3 linked regions of the Tribolium castaneum genome follow. The protein of the gene in region 2 interacts with the protein of the main gene of each other region in a pairwise test. Links are inferred from orthologs where the notes say so. Each region holds a gene or a part of one and is shown on either strand. Other genes may lie near its edges.

What was found.
Region 1: the proteins of Taf1 (region 2) and Taf4 interact in binary tests that used the Drosophila melanogaster proteins (3 or more experiments, as listed by UniProt). The link is inferred for Tribolium castaneum from reciprocal best matches to the Drosophila melanogaster genes Taf1 and Taf4.
Region 3: the proteins of Taf1 (region 2) and Tbp interact in binary tests that used the Drosophila melanogaster proteins (3 or more experiments, as listed by UniProt). The link is inferred for Tribolium castaneum from reciprocal best matches to the Drosophila melanogaster genes Taf1 and Tbp.

Annotation. Positions count from the first base shown.
Region 1 is NC_087394.1:35,639,490-35,643,863, forward strand, and holds the start of Taf4 (transcription initiation factor TFIID subunit 4), read right to left. Parts: upstream 3,153-4,374; 5' UTR 2,502-3,152; coding exon 1,902-2,501; intron 1-1,901. Other genes in the region: wcd (U3 small nucleolar RNA-associated protein 18 homolog), read right to left, coding at 3,936-4,374. UniProt on the Drosophila melanogaster protein: TFIID is a multimeric protein complex that plays a central role in mediating promoter responses to various activators and repressors.
Region 2 is NC_087394.1:24,745,380-24,749,956, forward strand, and holds the start of Taf1 (transcription initiation factor TFIID subunit 1), read right to left. Parts: upstream 2,810-4,577; 5' UTR 2,708-2,809; coding exon 2,559-2,707; intron 2,505-2,558; coding exon 2,341-2,504; intron 2,291-2,340; coding exon 2,220-2,290; intron 2,174-2,219; coding exon 1,949-2,173; intron 1,904-1,948; coding exon 1,685-1,903; intron 1,639-1,684; coding exon 1,453-1,638; intron 1-1,452. UniProt on the Drosophila melanogaster protein: TFIID is a multimeric protein complex that plays a central role in mediating promoter responses to various activators and repressors. Largest component and core scaffold of the complex.
Region 3 is NC_087402.1:9,986,735-9,991,199, reverse strand, and holds Tbp (uncharacterized protein Tbp), read right to left. Parts: upstream 3,067-4,465; 5' UTR 2,975-3,066; coding exon 2,929-2,974; intron 2,885-2,928; coding exon 2,658-2,884; intron 2,609-2,657; coding exon 2,466-2,608; intron 2,420-2,465; coding exon 1,900-2,419; 3' UTR 1,406-1,899; intron 1,359-1,405; 3' UTR 853-1,358; downstream 1-852. Other genes in the region: Bka (rRNA-processing protein FCF1 homolog), read left to right, coding at 3,477-3,479, 3,529-4,137; Tbcc (tubulin-specific chaperone C), read right to left, coding at 4,163-4,465. UniProt on the Drosophila melanogaster protein: General transcription factor that functions at the core of the DNA-binding multiprotein factor TFIID.

The DNA of each region.
Region 1 (4,374 bases), about 11 Mb from region 2:
TACCAAATTGGCAAACCCTATAAAAACGAACAACTACACAATAACAAGCACAAAACTAAAATAACACAAACAATACATTTTAAACAACTACTGGAATACATTTTGCTTCATAATCTACAATCTAAAGATTCTAGTCTAAAGAATGAGCCACGTGACTCGAACGTTAGTAACAAACGAGAAATTTGTTAGTAAGAGTTCCACAGTTAGTTGTATTTTTATTTTACAGTACGACCAGCAAATGTGTACACCAGTTATCAAACAAAACAATTCTTCAAATAAACTATAAAATTTACTCAACAAAACTAGAAGAGATTCGGCATTTTCGTTGTACAGCTTCGTGTACGTGTTTCGAGTGAACAATCTGTGTAAGGTGGTTGGTTGTTGTTTTGTGAAGCTGTACAATGGAAATAGCCTCAAACATGAAATTTTGCAGTAGAATGGGGGGGTTTGTGGGGTCCGAAAGCGTTAGTCCTAGCTTGGATGAAAATTAATCCCAATACTGACATGACATCCTGATTCTGCGACTTTTATTTCCAAATAAGGAACGAATTATTTTCAAAATAATTCGTTCCTTATGAATGAAATAAAACATTTTTAATAAACAAATCAGTAACCATTCACTCATTAATTCAACGTCACTTTCTTTCGCATAGATAGCAATTTGCATTAAACACGCTGCCATCGTTTTTTATAACATTTTAAAAAAAATAAGAATTAAATAAAAAAAAATTACACGAGCATGAAAATTACATAACATAACGTGTATTTAATCACAAAGTAGGGATATCAACACCTTTCCCTATATGTGTGATGCTGTTTATGTCCCTGTGGAGAGATAATTATTATGAAATTTTCTAATTTTATAATCGTTCCACTTTTCAATAATTACTCCAACTCTTATTATTGCATCTTATATTTTATTTTAGGATGTTTGATAATTACTATCCGTTTACAATTCTGGAGTTAAAAATTCACTTGCGTGTACAAAATAGTGTTTCTAAGAAAAAAAGTCTTCTAATTGTTATCAAACAAAATATTGGTACATGAGGGTCACTGGAATGAATCCTCTGTTAAAATCTAAATTGCAACAAATAATTTCAGTTTTAACAAGGTCATCATTTTGTCTCATTTTTACATTAGTTTTGTTCAAAATTTCAATTGGGAGTGCATAATTTTTGAATAATTTTGTACAAAAAAATCTATGTTTACTGTATGAAAGACGCTAAATTCGCCATTAATGGTAATGTCACTATAACTGAGAAGAAATGTGTAAAAGTTTAGCCAACATTAAATACTTTTTATTACCTATTGAAACAGCATGTCTTTATGACTACACAGGGTGAAAGTACGAAAGAATTTCTTACTTTGCTGTAGCTGTCAAATCTACATCGCTTAAAAGAGTCTTGAGTTAAGTAAGAGCAAGTTACAATTTTGCAGGAACGTATTTAATTTTTTTTTTAAATCTAAAGTCATTTTTTTAACAATTCCTTAAATTGTATTCATTGCTAAGTAAAATTTTAAAAAACAGTGTCATTAATTCGGGGCCCTTACGTTGGTTTCCTGGGGGAAACTGGGCTTTATTTTCAAGAATCCAATACTGTACTGTTTTGAGTGTGTCTTAAGTTGTCTACCTACAACACAACGAAATTATTATGGTAGATAGTTTGTAAACTTGTTGGACGTTGTTTGTTTTGATGGTCACATGATAATAAACAGTACACCAAGTACTGGCTTGAAAACATAATTTGTCCTAGAATGAAAATTTGTTTAATTTTTTGTTTTTTTTTTAATGTACGCTCAGTAGATGTCGATAAGGGGTTATAGGTGTTAGCAAGCATCTTAAGACTGGGAGTTAGCAGACCCTCCCATTCGACTGTTGTTTTGAGTGTACACCGACTTACTGGAGCTCCTGGCCGGGCCCCGACAATCTGTGGTGCACTGAGCACGACACGTGCCGGTTGTCCTTTCTGCTGCTGAGCGGGAACGCCAGGCCGTACATTGACAACCTGGAGGTTGGAAAGGATGTTTGGGGACTGTGTACTGGGACTACCTACGTTGTTAGCTGGCGGGACCGAGGTGGTCACGTTCATGGGCACGGTGACGAGTCCGGGGGCCGAGGCGCCGCACGTCTTGATGACCAGCGTGGGCTGCTTGCCGGGGGCGGCCTGGGGCAGCGTCCCATTGGGCGGCAGCGCGACCCTCGCGTTGGGCAGCAGCGTCCCGGCGCCCGCCATGGCCTGCGAGTAGACGATCTTGACGGGGGCGGCGTCGGCCGACTTGGCGTCCGAGATGGAGTCGCCGTTGGCCACTGTCGAGTGCTTGGGGGGCCCGACGGTGCCGCCGTTGGATATTGCACTGTTCACGTGGTTCTGGGCCGCGGACGCGGGCGCCGTCGTCGACGACGTCACCAGCTGGTTCTCCAACGAGCCCACGATTGCACTCACGGCCGATTCGTCCACATCCGTACTCAGTGCTTCCTCGAGAAACTTAGCTGACGCCATTTTCCGAGACCCAACTGTAAACTGATGTGCGCATGCGCCCTACATAAACATGATCACGCCAACGGCTGCGCCGTCGACTCTTCACGCCACAAATGCAGAAAGGCATATGAAACAAAAGTCCGAATCGACGCACTTTTAACCACTTTACATGGCCCTCATCTTCGGCTGCTCCGAGTTGTTGCACGGTTTCGTCGGGGGCGGATTTCACGGCGACATCAGACACAGCTTTTCAGTTTCGTTTACATCGCGGAGTCGATCGCACTCTCGACGTTTTGCTAAGTCATCTGACACGTCATCCCGACCCGCCAAATTTGAATTTTCGCATTGCATTTCACATTTCCAAATCCACAAATTTACATTTCTTTAGAAAGTTTCTGCGCCAATTTACATTTAACAAGATGACATTTTGCGACGACCGCTGATAGCCCCGATTCCTTCCACGCAGCTCGCAGCTTACGTATTACGTCATGGGGACAACACTCATTTCTCATCTTAAATTCTCATTTTACCTCGAATTCTGGCACGAGGCACAACGCAACTTTCTTTACTTCATAGCTCATTTGCTGTTTTTTGTTGCTTGAGCAATATTTCTTAAGAGATTGTTTATTGCTAAATCTCATGACCTACAACAACCTTGCAACACCATACTGCTGTTTTATCATCACAAAACAAAACACTCTGGTCAGATTCCCGCTGTTTTTTTCAAATTTTGAACAAAATTACCAATAAAAAACTTATATTAATAATATAAGTATATTTTCTTATACGATAGGTATGGCCTATTTAATATTAAGAACAGATTTATTGATAAAAAATAGGTATTCGATTTATAAACACGTTCTACTCCTACTATAATTTCCATTTTGTTTGGTACTTTTTTTTTATCATCTCCCTTATCCTCCTTTTGCATCAAATCTTTTTAATTATAGGTGGTATTTAGAACTGTAACGCAAATTTTTAATAAAAATCTAGCACTTCTAGATAACAGCAGGTAATAGTACCCCTATCAATTTGATTTCAGGAGGCTTGTGTGGTTGATAATGTGTAGGCAAGGGGTTATTTAATCGATTCCGGTGTAAACTATAATGGCCTGCAATCAATAAATTAAACGTAGGTACAATTGAGTACAAAGCGGTTCATTCGGCAACTGTTGGAAGAAAAAAAAATTCACATATTACAAATAAAACAATAAAATTCTTAGGACTTAAACGATTTTATTTACAGGTACTAAAACATGACATCGGTAGTAAAAAATAAAAAAGCATACAGAACGTAAAAATTGATCAAAATTAACCACTTGAGGAGAGATGCCACTCTTCGGTATTAAAACTGACACATTATTTTAGCAATAGCCCTGTTATAATTTATAAAGCTTGCATAAATGTTACAACAGGTGGAACAGGTCATTTACCGTATCTAACATGTGTTGTTTGATTAATAACTTTTGTAGTGCTTCAAGGTATACAAAGAAACGGTCGATTTCCTATTCCCAAAGGCAACATATCCACTATTTGGCGAGAAATTGATCGCATTTACGTGTCCCAACTTGGTCTCGAACGTCGGGAAGTTGCTAAAAACAGTCCCAGACCCGACATGGAGCAATTTGACGGAATTCGGTATTTCGGCAGACGACAATGCCAAAATCTCCGATGTAGCGTTGAATTTCAAGTCGGTCACGCTCGTAGTCAAATTCATAATGGTCTTTATAGGTTTAGGTACTTTATTAATTAAAATATCCCCCACGTCGTACAAATTAACAACTCCTTGTGCAGAACCAGCCGCCAGAAATTGATTAGTGGGCGAAACCGCCAAAGTGGTGCCTTGCAGACAGCCCTCGTCCATAAACTTGTGCAAGACCCGTCTCATGCTCACG
Region 2 (4,577 bases):
GTTAAAAACCAAAATTTATTGAAAATCGACATGTTCAAAAGTAAAATAAACAGATATGAGTTTTTTCCAGAAGATTTGGCTCGTTTTTAAACGAGTTATCATTAAAAATCACCGTATTTAAACAAAACAAGTGTCAGATAATGTTTTGATTCGTTTTTAGAAAAGCATTATTAAAAATCGATACATTATAATGAAAACGTAGTTTTCGGCAAAAATATGAAATATTTCGACAAGATTTTGTACATTTTTTGTGGAAAATAAAAAGAAACAATTTATTTCAACACAAAAAAATAAAATAAAGCGAGTTCTGGTAACTGCCCAATTTTTAAGCAAGAAATCGTTGAATACCATGTTTTTATGAACAAAAAATTAGTGTTTTTTATGGCAAAACAAAACGATTTGAGGCATTGCCATGCGATTTGGCTCGTTTTAAAGCTAGCAATCGTCAAAAATCTACAATTTTTAACTAAACAGCTGTCAAAATAAGGCAATTTTTGTTATTTCTGAGACATGGTCTCTTTTTAAGCATGAGATCTTTAAAAATCAGCGTAGGTATTTCCAGGTGCTTTAGCTCGTCTTTAAAGAAATTAAACGTTTATCCAAAAAAAAATTGATATTTATTCTTTGTTGTCAAGTGTTTAACAGATAATTGGCTTAAACAGCGTAATACAGTTAATGACAATTCTTCTGATGCAATATCTCGGTGCAAGTGGTTTTGAAGCTCATAGTCGCTAATGCATTTTGTATTGTTTTTACATATTTTGGCAAAATCTGTATTGGGTTTTGGATTAAAAATGCGATATAAGGTTAAAACTTTGTAAAAAAAATATTTTTTTTTTGCTAAATTCAGAAAAATAGCTCAGAATTCCTAATATGGGGTAAGGGTGGCTTTGGTATTACTAGAAATTGAAAGCCCATTCAATTAGGATTTTTTTCTGTTTCTTGTAAATTCCTTGTAAAATGTAGCGTTCTCGAGTAAAATAATAAAATGTAAAACGATGCAGACGATATCACAACACACAAGGCAGTGTTTAATAGTGTTTAGAAAAAATATCAATTTATTTTCAACAGTTAATTAATGGTTAAAATATTTGCACTTACTCAAGATACACCCTCTATTTAATCTTTGTTGTCATCAAGTGATTAAACAAGTGACTTTGAAATATTACAGAATGTTAATTAAAATAATATTTGTAGAATTTAGTTAGTTTTAAATATCATTACAAAATAAATTCTATAGAACCCTGTTGCTTTAATTTAGAACAGCGATGCCCAATTGTCCAAAATTTTTATTATTCGTTTTAAAACATTTCCCAATAAGTAGTTTTATTGGTATTATAAAGAATTCAATTTTCTAAACAGGATTCTAAACAGGATTTTGTATATAAAAACAATATACAAACCGACAAAATTTTAAATGCGTTGAAGAGCGCAATATCAATTGAAACAAACCTGATCTTCTTTTAGTTTAAAACCATAATTAAACCCCTCCCCTGTCTCCGGGACCTCCAACATATCGTACCAAATCTGGGCGGGGCCAAAGCGCCAATCGGCCACTTTAGGCCCCGTGTCATCCTTTGATTGGGTCTCAGCTTTGCTATCAACGGTCGCATTTTCCATTGGTTTCAGAAACTTCTCCTACAAGCAAAACATCACAAAACGAAACAAATCCACTGTAAACTACTTCATCATCGCTTTGAATTTGCTCAGGAGGCGGAGGCTCAGCATAATCAATAAACCAGCCCCGATGTTTCGGCTTCTCATCCTCAGAGTTCGAATCAGAATCGTGCTGATTCGCGCTATCTTTGTGCTTCCTTCTCTTGCGTTTCTTCCTCACATTTTTCCAAATATTGGGCAAACTGCTCGGTTTTCCTGGCCCAAAAAGCCGCGAAAATCGTAACACCTAAAAAAGTCGATCGAACGTGAAAATTTGGGCACAATTTCATACTTTTCCGTGCCGGAAATCCGGAAAAAGGTCCGTAACGTTAACGTTTGCGTATTTGGACGGCAGCATTGCCGCAAGAGGCGTTTCGAGCTTCTTTTTATCACCATCATCAGTCGTAACAATTGATTCGGAATTTTCTTTCGTTGTCGGAACTGGAGGTGGCGGCATTAATTTGTTATCAATTTCATTGGGGTGCTCATCATCAGCATCGTAATTTTCCGGTTTCGCCTGAAAATTATCAACTAAAAAACTGAAACAACACGGAACCACTTACCTCCTCCTCCTCTTCCTCAGCGAGTTCATTTATATCGGAAAAATCAACAGCACTGGGCGATTTTGACTCGACTGGAACAAAGTAAGGTTATGTTTGTTTACGTGACAAAAAACAGTCTCACAGTTAGAATCTTCATTATTTTGCGACTCCGCACTGTTGCTTTCTTTGTTTTCATCCCCAAATTTCGATTTTTGCCCCTCGGAATTATCATAATCGCTGTCGGAATCGTCTTTAGGGATGCTATCAACCCCAATCATTTCTTTAAGGGTTGAGCCCAAACCCAGCCTGGAATTATGTTTTTTACGCCCCGTATTACAACAGTATTACAATGAGTCTTACTTCCCGAGGTTGGAAAGTTGTTTTTGGGATTCAGTGTCCAAAACATCGCTTTCGAGTTGCCCTTGCTCGTTGATGTTCCCGAAGAGGAAACCGGTGAGGTCCACACAGTCCTCGTCTCTGTTAAAGTTCTCGTCGTCGCTATCACTCATTTTACATTTATTTTAAACAATTAAAACACAAAATAGATAAAAGTTGGTCCACCATATAAATAATCACAAATGGCGAAGTGAGTGCCCTCTAGCCGGTACAGATTCCTGTAACTACGAAGTTACCAAGAATGGTGCTGGCACCATGAACAAAATTACAGTCGACCAGACAATAACTGCGCGCATGGAGCTAGCAACATTTCCCCACCATTCTCGTTTTCTACAGCCAAGTTCACACCAGGAAAATTATCAAAATAATCGTAAATCATTATAAAAACATCAATAAGCTGTTACGCTGACTTGCATATCACATTTGTAGAACATCTCCTGACCATTCTAATGTGTTTCTATTACAAATTAAAACTTAACTGCATTTAATTTTTTCATTTCATAACCAATAATTCCTTTATTCCTTTCTTTTTCTAATATTTATTGTTTACCTCATCCTTATTTCCTTTTTTCCTGGCAAGAATGCTCTAAACCTCCACGTGATTCTTGCTAGACAAATTAATTATTAATTTGACAAATTAGAGCAATCTTTAAATATTAATTTTTTTAACGCAGTTTGCAAAATCGAGAAATTTTATAAAAATTAAAAAAATCTTTAAGGTCCCAAAGAGTGTTTATCCGAACATGATTTTTTTACAGTCAAAGGCCCTATCGAAGGGCTTAATCTCGTGCAAAAATAAAGATGATTGCAGGATATAAAAAGAGTAAAAAAAATCAGTTTGCATTGCTTGAATATGAGAATAAAAAATGCAAAAATTAAATGCAGTTAAGTTTTAATTTGTAATAGAAACACATTAGAATGGTGAGGAGATGTTCTACAAATGTGATATGCAAGTCAGCGTAACAGCTTATTGATGTTTTTATAATGATTTACGATCATTTTTATAATTTTCCTGGTGTGAACTTGGCTGTAGAAAACGAGAATGGTGCTAGCTCCAAGCGCGCAGCGATTGTCTGGTCGACTGTAATATTCATGGTGCTATATTCACCGATCTAAGTTAGTTCATGGGATAATTTCACTCAATAACTTTTTAAAAAATACTAATGAGCAAATAAGCATTTATGTAATCAAAATTGTAAATTAGTTTTTGCTGTTAAACAATTTTTTATCATAAAATCATAGTCAGAAAATTGTGAAAAATTCTAAATCTAAAAATCCGGTCCAAGTGAAATGACCGCCTGGACGACATTTCTCTATAAATGTGGCGATTTGTTTGGGATATCGTTGGTTTTAAGTGATTTTAAATGTGTTGTGGTTTTTCGTGTGTTTTATCGGTTTGTAGATTTTCATGTGTGTCCAAAAGTCTAATAAATAACAATATTCAAACTTCAGGAGCAATAGAATTCAGTAAACAGTAGTAAACATTAAGGTTAGAAAAACATAGCTTGTCACGGACTATAGCAAGCTGTGGGTGAAGTTACAGTCGATACATTTTTTGACAAAGTGATAGCACAATTTATCCAAAAGAAATGTTTAGGGAACAGCTTTTTGACACAGGGTGCAACAAACAACTTAATTAGAACCTTAGGGTCGGTTTACAGAAAACGAAATTAAATTTAATTCAAAATTAAACTAATTCGAATTAAGTTACCATTTAAAATGCATTGACAAATGTCAAGTTAATCGCGATTTAAATTTAATTGCAATTAAAATGTTCTGTAAACCGGTCCTTAGAACCGGTTTACAGAAGCGCCATTAATTTAATTCGCAATTAAATGTGTGATTAACGGATCACGTGACGAAATTGAGCCAATTTGATTGGTCTATTCGCGTTGATAACTTTTAACAACGAATTAAAATATGATGAAGCTTTCTATAAACCGGACCAAAGTGTTAAAATTATTGATAGCCAAAAATTGTGAC
Region 3 (4,465 bases), on a different chromosome or scaffold from region 2:
TTGTTATTTTAAACCGCAAAAAGGAGTTTGGTCAGGATTTTAGCAACATAGTATACACCGAACATTTTTTATTTGAAGTAATGTTGTTCAAATAGTACAATTTTTTCGTGTTTGAGTTGTTTATGTTGTTGGCGTCATAAAACCAAAAATCCCCAGATTTAAAATACTGGTTTTAACTTTTATTATGACTGACTTGTCATTACAAAAATATTAATTGATATTAGTTTTAATCAAAAAAATGGAGCTTGTAGAATTTGAGGCGATAATAAAAGCCATTAGTCAATCTTGCAGTGAACAACTCGATCGCTTTACCGAATCTTTGCACCCACTCGATGAGTTAACACCTCATGTGGAAGAAGGTACGTGCAATCTTTTTAAATCTATTTTTGTACTCTGTTATGTCTTTTTAGAAGGGTATTTGTTTAATATATGTGCAAACGTTAAATCTTTGATTGATTGTAAAGTAGAAAGGGCCTTTGAAATCGTGGATAACAATGCTCAACTTTTGGAAAAAGAAAAGTCTGAAATCGTAAGTATAAAAAATAATTTTACTTGTACGATAACTTTGTAAAAAAAATAGAATAAACTGGAAGAGGAACTTTCAAATTTAACTACCGAATTTGGTGCAAAGAAAAATAAACTCCGGGAAACAACAAAACGGTGCGAAACTTATAATCATAAGCTGCAAAATCTTAAGAGCCTAAAGTATGAAATTTAAATGACTCTTACGTTGGTCTCTAATGAATTTATTTCAGGCTCTCCTTATATTTGTATAAGTTATTAACTGCAACACAATTTGATTATACAAGACCTAACACAGGCTGTATCCTTTCTAAAAAAAAAACCAAGCCGTTCATTTTAACAACTTTATTCCTTATAAACTAACAGATATGGTACGGACGAACCCTCCAAACTATGAAGTCTTCAATTATGGTGAAATAGGCGAGGAACAAGTAGTACGAAAATTATGGGCATTAATGGAAAAAATGGCACATAAAAACGAATAAAAACTTAAATTTATTGCTTTTTCTTTATGGTAACCGTTTTAAATATTGTATATGAATGGAAAACACTCGCGCTTGTTGCAATTGTAAAACCAACAACGAATAAGGCTACAATTACCATAGCTAGTAGCATTCCTTGGATAAATATGTTGTAAGTTATGTAAAAAATTCCCTGTGACGCCAAAATTCCCGTGTAAGTGAGCAATAGCGCAACGGGCATTAGGGTGGCTGCTGTGACCACGGGGAGCAGGATAACGGCCAAAATCACCACCAAAGACATGGACAAAATCGGTCTTTGCACTGACCATTTTAGGAACATACTTCTAACATTCTTCACCAAATTTCGCACTTTATCTGATAAAATTACGATTAGTAACGCAATTATTGGCGTGTGGCCTCACCTGGTAAAATGGGCATTGTTGTTATTTTACGCCGAACTGTAGAGATTAAAATAATTACTTGAACATGTTGGAATTTGACATCGCTTTTTATCAGTTCCAGTATTTACAAGGCGTGGAATTTGTACCGTCTTCTGATATTCTTCCACTTTTTTAGAGTTTATTGTTCTTCATTTAAGACAAAAACGAGCGAGTTTTTTCTTTTTGGCAAAAAATTTGAGGTTATGTGGCAAAAATTTGAATTTTCGTAAACCATAATCAACTTTAATTAATTATTTACTTATCAGTTTTGAACTTAAGTACTGAGCGGAATTTTCCATTCCCTTTCGATTGATTGTATTCTAGTGCAGCATAATGTATTAATAATGTAAAAAAACTAATTTTGAGGTTAGATTGGACTTGTCAAAAGGAAAAATAAAAGCAATTTTTGATTCTCGTCTATTAACAATATAAAAGGCCCACTTACAGTCAACAATTAAACGTAGCACATGAAGCAATTATTGCTTTTTGAAGCTTTTCAGGATTGGATAAATATTATCAAAGGCTTCGTAAATCTCCTGCCTGATTTTGGCGCCAGTCAAGACAACTTTACCCGAGACAAAAATAAGTAGTACAATTCTGGGCTTAACCATTCTGTAAATTAAACCGGGGAATAACTCGGGTTCATACGAACTGAAGGAACTGTGCGTGAGGACAAGTCCTTCCAATCTGATCGGAAATTTAACGTCGCAACTTCCCACCATATTTTGAATCTTGAAGTCTAAAAATTTCGCGGGGAAGCCCAGCTTTTGGATAATTCTCGCATATTTCCTCGCTGCTAGTCTGGAGTCGTCCTCGCTTTTAGCCCCCGTGCAGACCATTTTTCCCGAAGAGAAAATAAGAGCAGTAGTTCGGGGCTCCCTGATTCTCATTATAACTGCAGCGAAACGTTTGGGGTTGTACTCAGCGTTACGTGCGTGAAGGGCGATTTTTTTCAAGTCTAACTTGCAGCTGAGGTTAACTGTGGAGACAATATTTCTGCAAAAAATATTCAAACTAATTTTACTAAAGTTTGGACTGTTACTGTAATTGGGGGACAATGTTGGGGTCGGCCGAATGCGGGGTCATCGGTGTCAGGGGCGACGGCGTCGCGGGGCCCATCGACGGGGTGTTCGCTGCACCACTTGAGCCCCCCAAATTCACCATAGGGGACATCATAGTGTGTTGCTAAAATTTTAATTAAACGTTCCAATTATTCAATAATTTAGTTACGTACTGGTGTTTGTGACTGGATACTCGTGATGGGGAGGGCGAAGCCCGCATATTTCGTATGGGGCATGGACATGCCCATGCCCAACCCCAGAGTTGGTGTTAGGGCTCCCATTGGGGCCAAAGGCGGGACTTGTTGGGACTGTGATGTTGTGGAAGGTTGCTGCTGCTGTTGTTGCTGCAGAGCATTGGGCAAAATCATCTGATCTTCCTCGGGCTGGTGCAAGGGGGTTCCTAAAGCCTCACTAAGGAAGTGTGAAGGAAAAATCGAGACTTACCTATGCTAGGAATGCTGAAACCGGGGCTTGGCAACATTTGATCCATTTTGGTACTTGTTGTCTTTACACTTTTTTAATTAACGAACTAATTAACTGAACAATAAAATCATAGTCAACATTTAGCATAAACGGTTATAATTTTTAAAAACTTGAACTCAGACCATACAAACACAAAATAACATTCCTTGATTGTTCTCTTTCAGAGTTTTCGTCACGAAAATACTGTTTTTCACTGGAAAAACGGATTTGGAAGCAAATTAATAAATTATTCTCCTAGCATAATTTTTGGGGACAAATCAACCAGAATGTTGGCAACGCCCGCCTTAACCTCACTCAAATTCGCATCATAAATTTAAAAATAACACTCACGGCTCACGCTCACAATGTCGCCTTTTAAAAATTTCGAGTCAGTGGAACAGTTTTTTCACACAAACAATTATTTTGGATTTAATTTATTCACCTCTCCCTGATTGTTTATTTAGTGTTGTAATGTTGGCAACGCATATTTAACCTGACTTTTTCTACATGTGTTTATTTTAAAATAAAAGATGGTAAAAAGTTCGCTTTGGTGTTTGCACAGCGTATAGAAATGTTTTTTAGGGTAAGGCGAAGAAGACGCGAAAAATCGCCCAGAAGCGGTTTGCAAAAATGAAAACAATGATCAGTCCCAGCGACCCTCGCATAAAAGCCAGCCAGAGGGCCCCTCCTCGCAAGAAAAAACCCGAAGATCCACACGAAATGAAAGTGCGTGAGGTGCCCCAAGTTAGTTCGGCGCTCTTTTTCCAATACAACACCCAACTGGGGCCTCCATATCACATTTTGGTTGATACGAACTTTATTAATTTTTCGATCAAGAACAAGTTGGATATTATTCAGAATATGATGGACTGCTTGTATGCTAAGTGTATTCCGTATATTACGGATTGTGTTTTGGGCGAATTAGAGAAATTAGGTCAGAAGTATAAAGTGGCGTTGAGGATAATAAAGGATCCGAGGTTTGAGAGGATTAAGTGCATGCATAAAGGGACGTACGCTGATGATTGCCTAGTCCAGAGGGTCACCCAACACAAGTGTTACATTGTTGCGACGAATGATAAGGATTTGAAACGCAGAATTCGGAAAATTCCGGGTGTTCCCATCATGTATGTTGCACAACATAGGTATACAATTGAACGCATGCCTGATGCTTACGGGGCTCCAAAAACATAATAAACTACGAATTTTTATTACTACGTTATGAATTATCCCAATTTTTTACAAGTTTCCCTTCATCTAACAACGACCAATTTGGAGATTGTCTTTCAACATTCAACCAGTTGAAATCATCAACACATTTCCAATTATTTGTGTTTCGATCCAACCCTGAATTTTTAAAATCAGACTCGAGATTATCATAGTCCCAGTTATACGGTGCTAGAAATATATCGTGACAATCTTCCATAATTGCTCTACTTGTTACATGCAAATAAATATCGACATCACTCGAAGAATGCAATCTTAACTGTTGACACGCTATCACAAGAGTGCAATTTGTGCA